Linked DNA regions of Mus musculus. The protein of the gene in region 1 binds, or shares a complex with, the protein of each later gene. Links are inferred from orthologs where the notes say so. Each region holds a gene or a part of one and is shown in the gene's direction. Other genes may lie near its edges.

The links.
Region 2: Tmem67 (region 1) and Tmem237 share a complex: the UniProt entries of both Homo sapiens proteins name them as parts of the tectonic-like complex. The link is inferred for Mus musculus from reciprocal best matches to the Homo sapiens genes TMEM67 and TMEM237.

The regions. Positions count from the first base shown.
Region 1 is NC_000070.6:12,085,044-12,089,352, reverse strand, and holds the start of Tmem67 (meckelin precursor), read left to right. Parts: upstream 1-1,415; coding exon 1,416-1,638; intron 1,639-3,352; coding exon 3,353-3,441; intron 3,442-4,309. UniProt on the Homo sapiens protein: Required for ciliary structure and function. Part of the tectonic-like complex which is required for tissue-specific ciliogenesis and may regulate ciliary membrane composition.
Region 2 is NC_000067.6:59,116,967-59,121,548, reverse strand, and holds the start of Tmem237 (transmembrane protein 237), read left to right. Parts: upstream 1-1,742; 5' UTR 1,743-1,813; coding exon 1,814-1,846; intron 1,847-3,542; coding exon 3,543-3,574; intron 3,575-4,207; coding exon 4,208-4,218; intron 4,219-4,582. Other genes in the region: Mpp4 (MAGUK p55 subfamily member 4), read left to right, coding at 105-296. UniProt on the Homo sapiens protein: Component of the transition zone in primary cilia. Required for ciliogenesis.

The DNA.
Region 1 (4,309 bases):
AGCCACCCCTTGGCGCTCTGAACGCGCGTGCGCAGACGTACTGCTTCGGTTACAGTGATTGGCGGGTGTGAGTGAGGAAGGCTGTTCTCTGCAGTGTAGTATGGTTTTGTGCATGCTCTATTTCTAGGCAATCTGTGAGCCCCTGACCCACCCCTGAAAACTTCCACTGGGGGGCGGGGATGTGAGGCAATTGTAAAATATACAAATCAAAAAGGTTTCTTTTTTTTCTTTTCATCATAATGAACCGCTTTGGAAGTGGAAAGCTGCAGAGTTTTCCATCCTCTCCTGTGATTTCTGTTAAACCTGAGAAAAACAGGGCAGTTGCATAGGCAGATAAAAGCAAGCTGTATTTACAACAGGCCTTCGGGCTGCCTTACCTAAAGTATGTATTACAGAAAGCATCCCTTCAACCTTTTATTACTGTGCTGTTAGGTGTATGTGACAATTCCCAACAATCACACTATGTGGCAGTTCTCCAGTCGGGGGTTTATTGGGATGGGAAATAGAGTTATCCTCTGGGAGAGGGAGGAGAACCAGGGACAGGGGAGAAAGGGAGAATGAGGCTTTTATTAGGCATTGTTGCGCTAACAGTCTGCAAGGCTGTGCACTTTAATAGGCAATATTCATGTATATCCAAATTTGGTTCTCAAACCAAGTGAGATGAGGTGTATATGTAGGGTGCTTTATGCACAATACAGAGAAAGTATGAAATCAAGATTCAGTAGGCAAGGTTTCTCCTAGACTTTTGTCATAAAGGTATTATATATAAAATCAATGAGGGTTTCTGTTTGTATTGCTTTGCTAAAACTCAAACTCAGGACTTGAAACAATCCCTACCCTTAGTGTTTTTTAAATAATGTAAAAACAAAGCCGGGCATGGTGGTGCACGCCTTTAATCCCAGCACTGTAGAGGCAGAGGCAGGCGGGATTTCTGAGTTCGTGGCTAGCCTGGCCTACAAAGTGAGTTCCAGGACAGCCAGGACTATACAGAGAAACCCTGTCTCGAAAATCAGAACAAAACAAACAAAAAAAGTAAAAACATAGGGCACCTCCTTTGTTGTCAAAATTAATCCCCTGGGTAAACTGTCATGTAGGTGTGATTGCCACTTTCATGAAACACTTTTAAGTGCTAAAACCATATATTTTCCATTGCTGTAGTAGTATTTCCTGACACGGTAAATTGACTGCGTCCCAGAGTTTTAAATACATTTTAAATAACCGCCCCTAATTTATTTAGCATATGTCTGATCCATTGTTTCCCGCGTGCGTGGTAACCTAGCAACCAGGCGTCGCAAGGTTGAGTTTTTTTTTTTTTTTTTTTTTTTTTTTCTGAACCCTGTTGTCCAATCAGCTCAGCGGACTCACCGAGGAGGCTGCTGGGGAGCTGGAGACTGCGGACCCAGGATATGGGTACCATGGTGACGCGTACAAGGCCTGTGGCGGCCATGGCGGTCAGATCTCGTTCTTCATCCCGGACTGGCACCGCCTACCTTCTCTTAGTTCTCTGCGAAGTCTCATGGGCACAAATCTTCTCCTTCCCTTTCCGGCGGCCTGAGACCTGCGACTTCAACCAGTACTTTGACATCTCGGCGCTCTCCTGTGCCCCCTGTGGCGCCAACCAGCGGCGGGATGCACTAGGTGAGGCGGTTTGGGGGTGGATGGACTCTGACCAAAATAAAGCACTCCTGACAGCCAGCACTCCAGACATTTTATTTGGAGAATGTTTCAGAAAATGCACAGCTATCAAACCTAAGAAAGGGTTTCCTGGGAGGATACGGCTGACACAATGAGATCAGTCACCCAGGCGCCACCACCCTACCCTCCTCCAGGAACTCATTCCCCGGAGTCAGTCTCTGGCAGGGAATCCTTAGGATGGCACCTGAAAGCCGCCTAAGAAAAGTAGAATAGAAATAGAAAAGAAATAACCTGAGGCGTCTAGTGAGGTACCCTGACAGGAAAGCAAGGGAAGAAATGTGAATTAGTAAACTCTTGTGACCATTAATTCTACTTCCAAATTCAAGATATTTAAAGCTGTTTGCAACTGTGACTATAATCAGATTTTGTAAGCAAAGGAAACTGAAACCGAGATGTTGTGACATCTGTGTGACATATACTGGAAACTAAGAGAACTCTTGTCTCTTCCTCACTTTCTTTTTTGTTTTTTGTTTTGTTTTGTTTTTCGACACAGGGTTTCTCTGTGTAGCCCTGGCTGTCCTGGAACTCTCACTTTGTAGGCCAGGCTGGCCTCGAACTCAGAAATCCGCCTGCCTCTGCCTCCTGAGTGCTGGGATTAAAGGCGTGGGCCAGGACACCTGGCTTCCCTCACTTTCTACCTCTGCATTCCCAGCGCGTGGCTTTGCATCTGTGGTTACATATTCCCTTAGGACCTGTCCCTTTTATTGTTGATGACTTCTGTTTGCTCACATTGTCCTTTTAGACTTAATTGCATCGATTGGTCTAGTTCTCCCTTAACTACTCAGAATGAGTCTTTTCCTATTTACTGAAGTCTAAAATGCTGTGAATCTCAGACTGGTTAACTCTCCTGCTTTAGGCCTGGTAGAGTCTCACTTAAGGCAGTGCGGATCACTGTGTCAGAAGATGGAGTGTGAAGAGCAAACGTGTTCTGCATTGTATTGCTTTCATGACAATGAATGAAGACGTGTGTGTTGTACATAGACTCCTACAGGTGCTGGCTCTACTTAGTCCTTAGAGAATTCTTTCTTTAACTAGCTGAGTCTACTTGTAATTACAAACAACATTTATTTTCTTTCTAGAGAAAGAGTATTTGAATGAAAGCAATTTTCCAATAAGATATTGACAAAATTAAAACTCACTAAACACACATACATATGGTTTAGTGATGCAGAAATGTAATTCCTAGAGCAAGTAAGTAGTTTTCATAGTTCAATAATAATTGCAGTTTAAAAAGTAGCAACATGATGCCAGACATATTTCTAAACTTTGACCCTATTAGGTAGGTCCTGTTTTTTTCTCCATTTTACTAAACAAGAAGCCGAAGTATAGAATTCATTAACCCACTCAGTGTTTGCATGTATACGCACAGACCCATAGACACATATACATGCACAGACAGACAGACAGAGAGACAGACAGACAAAGACACCTGTTGTCTCTCATATAATGCCCAGTCTGGCCTCGCACTGTCTGTGAGCAGGGATACCCTTGAAGTACTGCCTGAACTTCCTGCCTCTTCCTCCTAAATACTGAGGTTACAGGTATACACCACCACTCCAAGCTTCAAAATCCTAAGAACTGTTAAGTTTGTGTCTTGGAGTTTTGTTTGCTAAGGACAATATCAGCTTTGTTTTTTTTTTTTTCTTTTTCTTTTCAGGAACTTCCTGTGTATGTCTACCAGGATATCATATGATCTCTAATAATGGAGGACCTTCTATTATTTGTAAAAAGTGTCCAGAAAACATGGTATGAATAATTTATTTTAAAATAACTTTTGAGAAAAAGTCATAAATGTCTATCTCTCAGACTTCAGTATAATTTCCCATTTGTTCACATACTTTAAACTTTTTTTGTTTTGGGTTTTTTGTTGTTGTTTTTTTGTTTTGCTTTTTTTGTTTTGTTTTTTTTTTTGTTTTTTTGTTTTTTTGTTTTTTTTTGGTTTTTTGAGACAGGGTTTCTCTGTGTAGCCTTGGCTGTACTGGAACTCACTCTGTAGACCAGGCTGGCCTAGAACTCAGAAATCCGCCTGCCTCTGCCTCCCAAGTGCTGGGATTAAAGGCGTGCGCCACCACGCCCCGCTACTTTAAACTTATTAAGGTAATTTTATTAGTATACATTTTGAGAGATCAGTAAAGCAAAGAAGAAAACTTTGGGGAAAAAAGACAAATTCATTTTGTTCTGAAAGTGGTTGAGTCAGATATCCCAAGTACAAAGCTGTGAAAAAAAATCTTTCTGTTTGCCTCACAGAATAACTAGGGTATAAAGAGAAGCTGAGTATTCCCTATGTAGAGCCATTCGGGGTAAAATGTCTTTGCTGTAGATGGCATTCGCTGTCTTAGATGTACTGTGCTGATCGTCTTAAATGATGCTTGATCCTCCTAATGCTACATGAGGTTCAGCAATCCTCATGCTACATTAGGTACAGCAAGTCGATGCATTGCCGGTTGCATCAATAGAAATGGAATCATTCGAAGTTTGCTTAGTTTCCTCATTACATAATGGTTCAGGGAAATTCGACTAGTGGGCAAATTTTATGGGCTAATTACCAATTAGTAGAAATATGTTTTCTAATCATTTAAGCTAATTAGGAGTGTATAACAGTTCTATTGAAGTG
Region 2 (4,582 bases), on another chromosome or scaffold:
TAATTGACATAATTGTTTTTATAAATACCCTCACGAGTTTGCCAGCAGAACACCTGGTCTTATTGCCTGTGCCATTCATACATATTTTTCAATCACTCCTGAAGGATGAAGACCTACAAGAGATGGAGGAGTTAGCCCAGAAAATGGAGAGTCAGTTTGGCCAGTTTTTTGATCACGTGATTGTGAATGACAACTTGCAAGATGCATGTGGCCAGCTGTTGTCCGCCATACAGAAGGCTCAGGAAGAACTGCAGTGGGTGCCAGAGGCATGGGTTTCCCCTGACACTGAATCTTAATCTAGTGTCCTGCTTAAAGCTGGAAGCTTCATAGTGTGCCCTAAAGATCCGGAATAACGGCTGCCATTGAAAACAGCAGTGTTTGACCCATTAGAACTGCGACTATGAAGTCCTTATTGTATAGCTATAAATAGCATCCTATACATATACAGAGCTACTCATTTGGCTCTCAGGCATTTTCCCGATGTTTCCCCATATGAGCTAATGGCAGGTATGTGACAATGTTGTCACTGAATGTGAGCATTTTATAGATTTCATATGGTGTTTTGTAAGATGTAACTCTTCTAAATAAACCAGTCTACTTAATGACAAACTGTATTTTACTTTGTAAAATATTTTCTTATTTCTGTTTATATTTTACAAAAGTGCCTAGTTGACTAACTAAGCTAAGAGCGGTTAACAAGTACACATTTATCTAATAAGGAAACCTATGACACTGTTATTTCCAAATCAGCAAAGTGGACTAGTCCTGGAGCCTGTATATGAGCTCCAAAACGAGGATGTTGATACAGTCTTGGTCTCCCTAGATCCGAAGCTCCACTGCACCCATGTCTGTTCATCTTCTTTATATCCACACTTCCCTCCATTCTACCTATTTTAAACTATAACTGTTCCCACTGAAGGAACTATCAGAACTGAACATTCAGATTATACTCCTAGGCCTACAGGGAATCTAGGAAACTGGGCAGGCCAGTGAAAGAGATCCTCGCTGTTTCAGTCATACAGATCTCCCTCCAGGCAGCACCCTGGCAGACGGGAACCAGGTGGGGGACGCCGGCCTCTCCAGGCTCCGCAAAGCCGCCTCCTCCCACAAGTCCCCGGAGGCCGGGCGTCGCGGGAAGCCGGCCTCGGGCTCCGGCGGTTGCGCCTAGGGAGGCCCGCGGGAAAGCATCATGAGGGACGACTCAGGGCCTCCGCTGGAGGAGGACCAAGCGGTGAGCGACGAGGGGCGCCTGGCCCGGAGTGTGGCGAAGTGGAGGTGTCCTAACCAGCAGTGACCACCGCCGAGCCGGGAATCTGGGGACAGCACTGCCCGAGGGGTGCGGCGGGGGCGGACCGGGGCTGTACATCAGGGCGGGCCCCGCAAAAGGCGATCAGGTCCACCCAACATCCGGGCGCCCTAGTCAGCGTTGCCATGGCGACGCCTCCGGGCGGCTCTCGGTCAGAGAGGAGGATGTTCCGGTGGGGAGTTTGAATACGAGTCTGGTCCCGCCGTGCCCACCCCCACGCAAACCACGATGACCTCCCGGGAAACTGTGGGTGAACCCCCTCCGCTCCTGGGGACGCCGGCCGACGCTGAGGTTTTCCTAGTTCGAAGGGGTCAGATTGGGTTCGGCTCCGGTAGCCCCAATACCTCCCGTGGGACGGGTGGGGACGCTCCGGGCCCAGCAGCCATGAGGCGCAGCCCGATGACGCTCTGCGCCTGCGCGCCTGGGCAGGAGGGGCGGGGCGGGCCGGACCGGGGCGGGGCGGGCGGCTGTGGTGCCCTGAGCTCTGCTGCGGTCCCTGGAGACGTGATGGGGAAGAAGCAGGTGGTTAGCGAGCCTCAGGTACTTTTGAGCTGTTGGGAATTTAGTCTCCGCCTGTTCAGCGGTTCTTCTTTTGAGGGGCTTAGAGGTGCGGTTTCTAGATGGGTGAGATGGTTCATTTTTGCGGGACTTTTGAAATACCAAGAGGACTGGGTCCCACTTTCATAGCATCTTGAGAATAGTAGTGCTTTTGTAGGACCACCATTCTATTCCAGTTGTCATTTTGACTGCTGGATTCCATTAGGACATCGTCAGTGTCCTAATTTTGTAGCATTCTCACGAATTTGTTTGAGTGAATACAACCATGGATTGCGAAATGGGACAAGCAAGAATATCTAAAATGTGAGCCTTTGGAATCAGTGCCTTCCATAAGCAGCATGAAATACCCGAGCTAATAAATCGACGTCTAGGCACTGCTCTTAGAGATCAATTCTTTTAAAGGTGTATTTGTAGCCGGACAGTGGTGGCGCACGCCTTTAATCCCAGCACTTGGAAGGCAGAGGCAGGTGGATTTCTGAGTTCAAGGCCAGCCTGGTCTATAGAGTGAGTTCCAGGACAGCCAGGGCTATACAGAGAAACCCCGTCTCAAAAAAACCAAAAAAAAAAAATGTATTTGTTTTGAGTGTTTTGCCAATATATGAACCACTTGTGTGCCTGTTGCTCACAGAAACCTGAAGAGGCTGTCCATTTCCCTGGAACTGGAATTACTGGTGCTTTGTGGGTGCTGGGAACTAAACCCAGGTCTGCTGCATGAGCAGTAACTGCTCTTAATGGCTAAGCCATCTATTTTGAAAATTTTCAGAATGCTTAACTAATGCTTCCTGAGCTTGCAAGCAGGACTTTTCTTAAGTAAGAACAGGGTAAACTACACCAGCCCCAAATACTTCCTGTTCTAAAATATGTTACCTATTTCTATTTAAAGTAACTTAAAAAAAAAGCATGTTACTCTGTGGCATAAAACCTTAGTTGGCTTCCTAGTTAATAGAACTAAATCCGTATTCCTTCTGCTAGTCTGCGAGGTCATAGTTAATCTGACGTCTGCCTTCTGTCCTGTGTCACTGGTTTCTGCCTGGCTGCTCTTTACCTGGAGCCCTTCATGCCCTGTCTTTCTTGAAAGCCTTAACATGTGCTCCTCATTCCCTGTAAATTTGGCACCTTTGTCAGGAAGGGCTCAGCTCAGATAACATCAAAGAGGCTTTCCCTAAGTAAAACATCACTCTTCATTCCTTATATATGGTTATTTATTGTATGCAAACACACATGCACATGCATGCACACACATGCATGCACAGACACACACACAAGCATGCATGCACACACATTTATATGGCATGGTCTAGTTTTATCTGAGCATGCAACATTATCTTCCAATACTTAACCACTAATGGAAGGTCTGTAAAGGGAGATGAGCTCTGTTTGATCCTGTTCTGAATGCTCACAATAGGCCAGACTGGTTGAAGTGGAAGAAGAAAAGAATTTTACATGGGGTGTAGGAATGGCAGAATAGATCTAAACCCAGCAGTCCAGTTTACATCACCGCCTCCCGGGTTTCACTGATAATCTTCCAAAGATTTGAAGAGAATTGCTGATCCATTTTATTTGATAACATCTGGACAGTGGGCTTTTAAAGGAGAAGCTTTGTGGTGCTTGAGATAAATGAAGGTGAGGTTAATCCAGCTTTTATTGACGAGATGTTTGCCTCTCCCCTCCCCTATAGCGTCCTCCACGAGCACTCCCACCTGTGCCAAGGTAAAAACAGTTTACGGTCATTTAATTATTGAACTTTAAAAATATAAAGTAAGAAGAAAAAAAAAATCAAATAGTATGGTTGAAAACCTACAATACTTCATTAAAAAAAAATCCTTCCTGGAATTTTAAAAAGTCTTCCTAAGAAGTGAGTGGTAAAAGTTAAATTCAAATCATGAGAATAATTGTTATGAATAATTACAGAAAGCTGTCACTCTAGCACGGTGGAGGAATGGGTCTGTCCTGGGTGTGCTGATTCTATTTACCAGGATTCTCCAAGGCCCTCCTGTTTGTGGAATATTCCATCAGAGCTTAAACCGATTATAACCGGTGACAAAGAAAGTTCTTAATCTGCTTAGTCCCTCTGATTAATAGACAGTAGGGAATGTGTATTTGTGCTTTCAAAATACTTTTAGCAGTGCTATTAAACAATATACTATTTACAAATAATAAGCTAGTTTATAAACTGGCTAGCAGTATGTAAAAGCTAGTTTTATTTTTAAAGTTGTAATGATGTAAGTCAATTTTTAGCTAGACAATAAAATAGATATCCAATTAATAGTTTCTTTTTTCTTTCTCTCTCTCTCTTTCCCCCCCCCCCCCTTTCTGATTACATTTGGCCGGGGTCACGTGAAGTGCTATCCAAGGTGAGTTAGTTTACTGTAGTGTAAACAGTCCTAAATGCATTTGTTGTTCTGAAGTAAGAGTGAAGATGAGTACACTGGCTCTTACGAGCCTACCTGGACTGCCTAGGTTTCAAGGTAGGGACAGTGGCACACACCTGTAGTCTCAGGCCCTTGCAGGCTGAGGGAGGAGAGCTGCTTAAGCCTAGGAGTTGACGGCCAGTGTGGGTAACAGTCAGCCCTTGCCTCAAAATGATGATGATAATAATTTTCACAATCTTCCGTGACTGCCATTTGAAAGTCATGTGTGATATACAGTAATAAGTTGCTCTCTGCAGTTGCCTTGACTTGTTAATAGCTCTGTAATAGACAGTACTTTTTCTCTTCT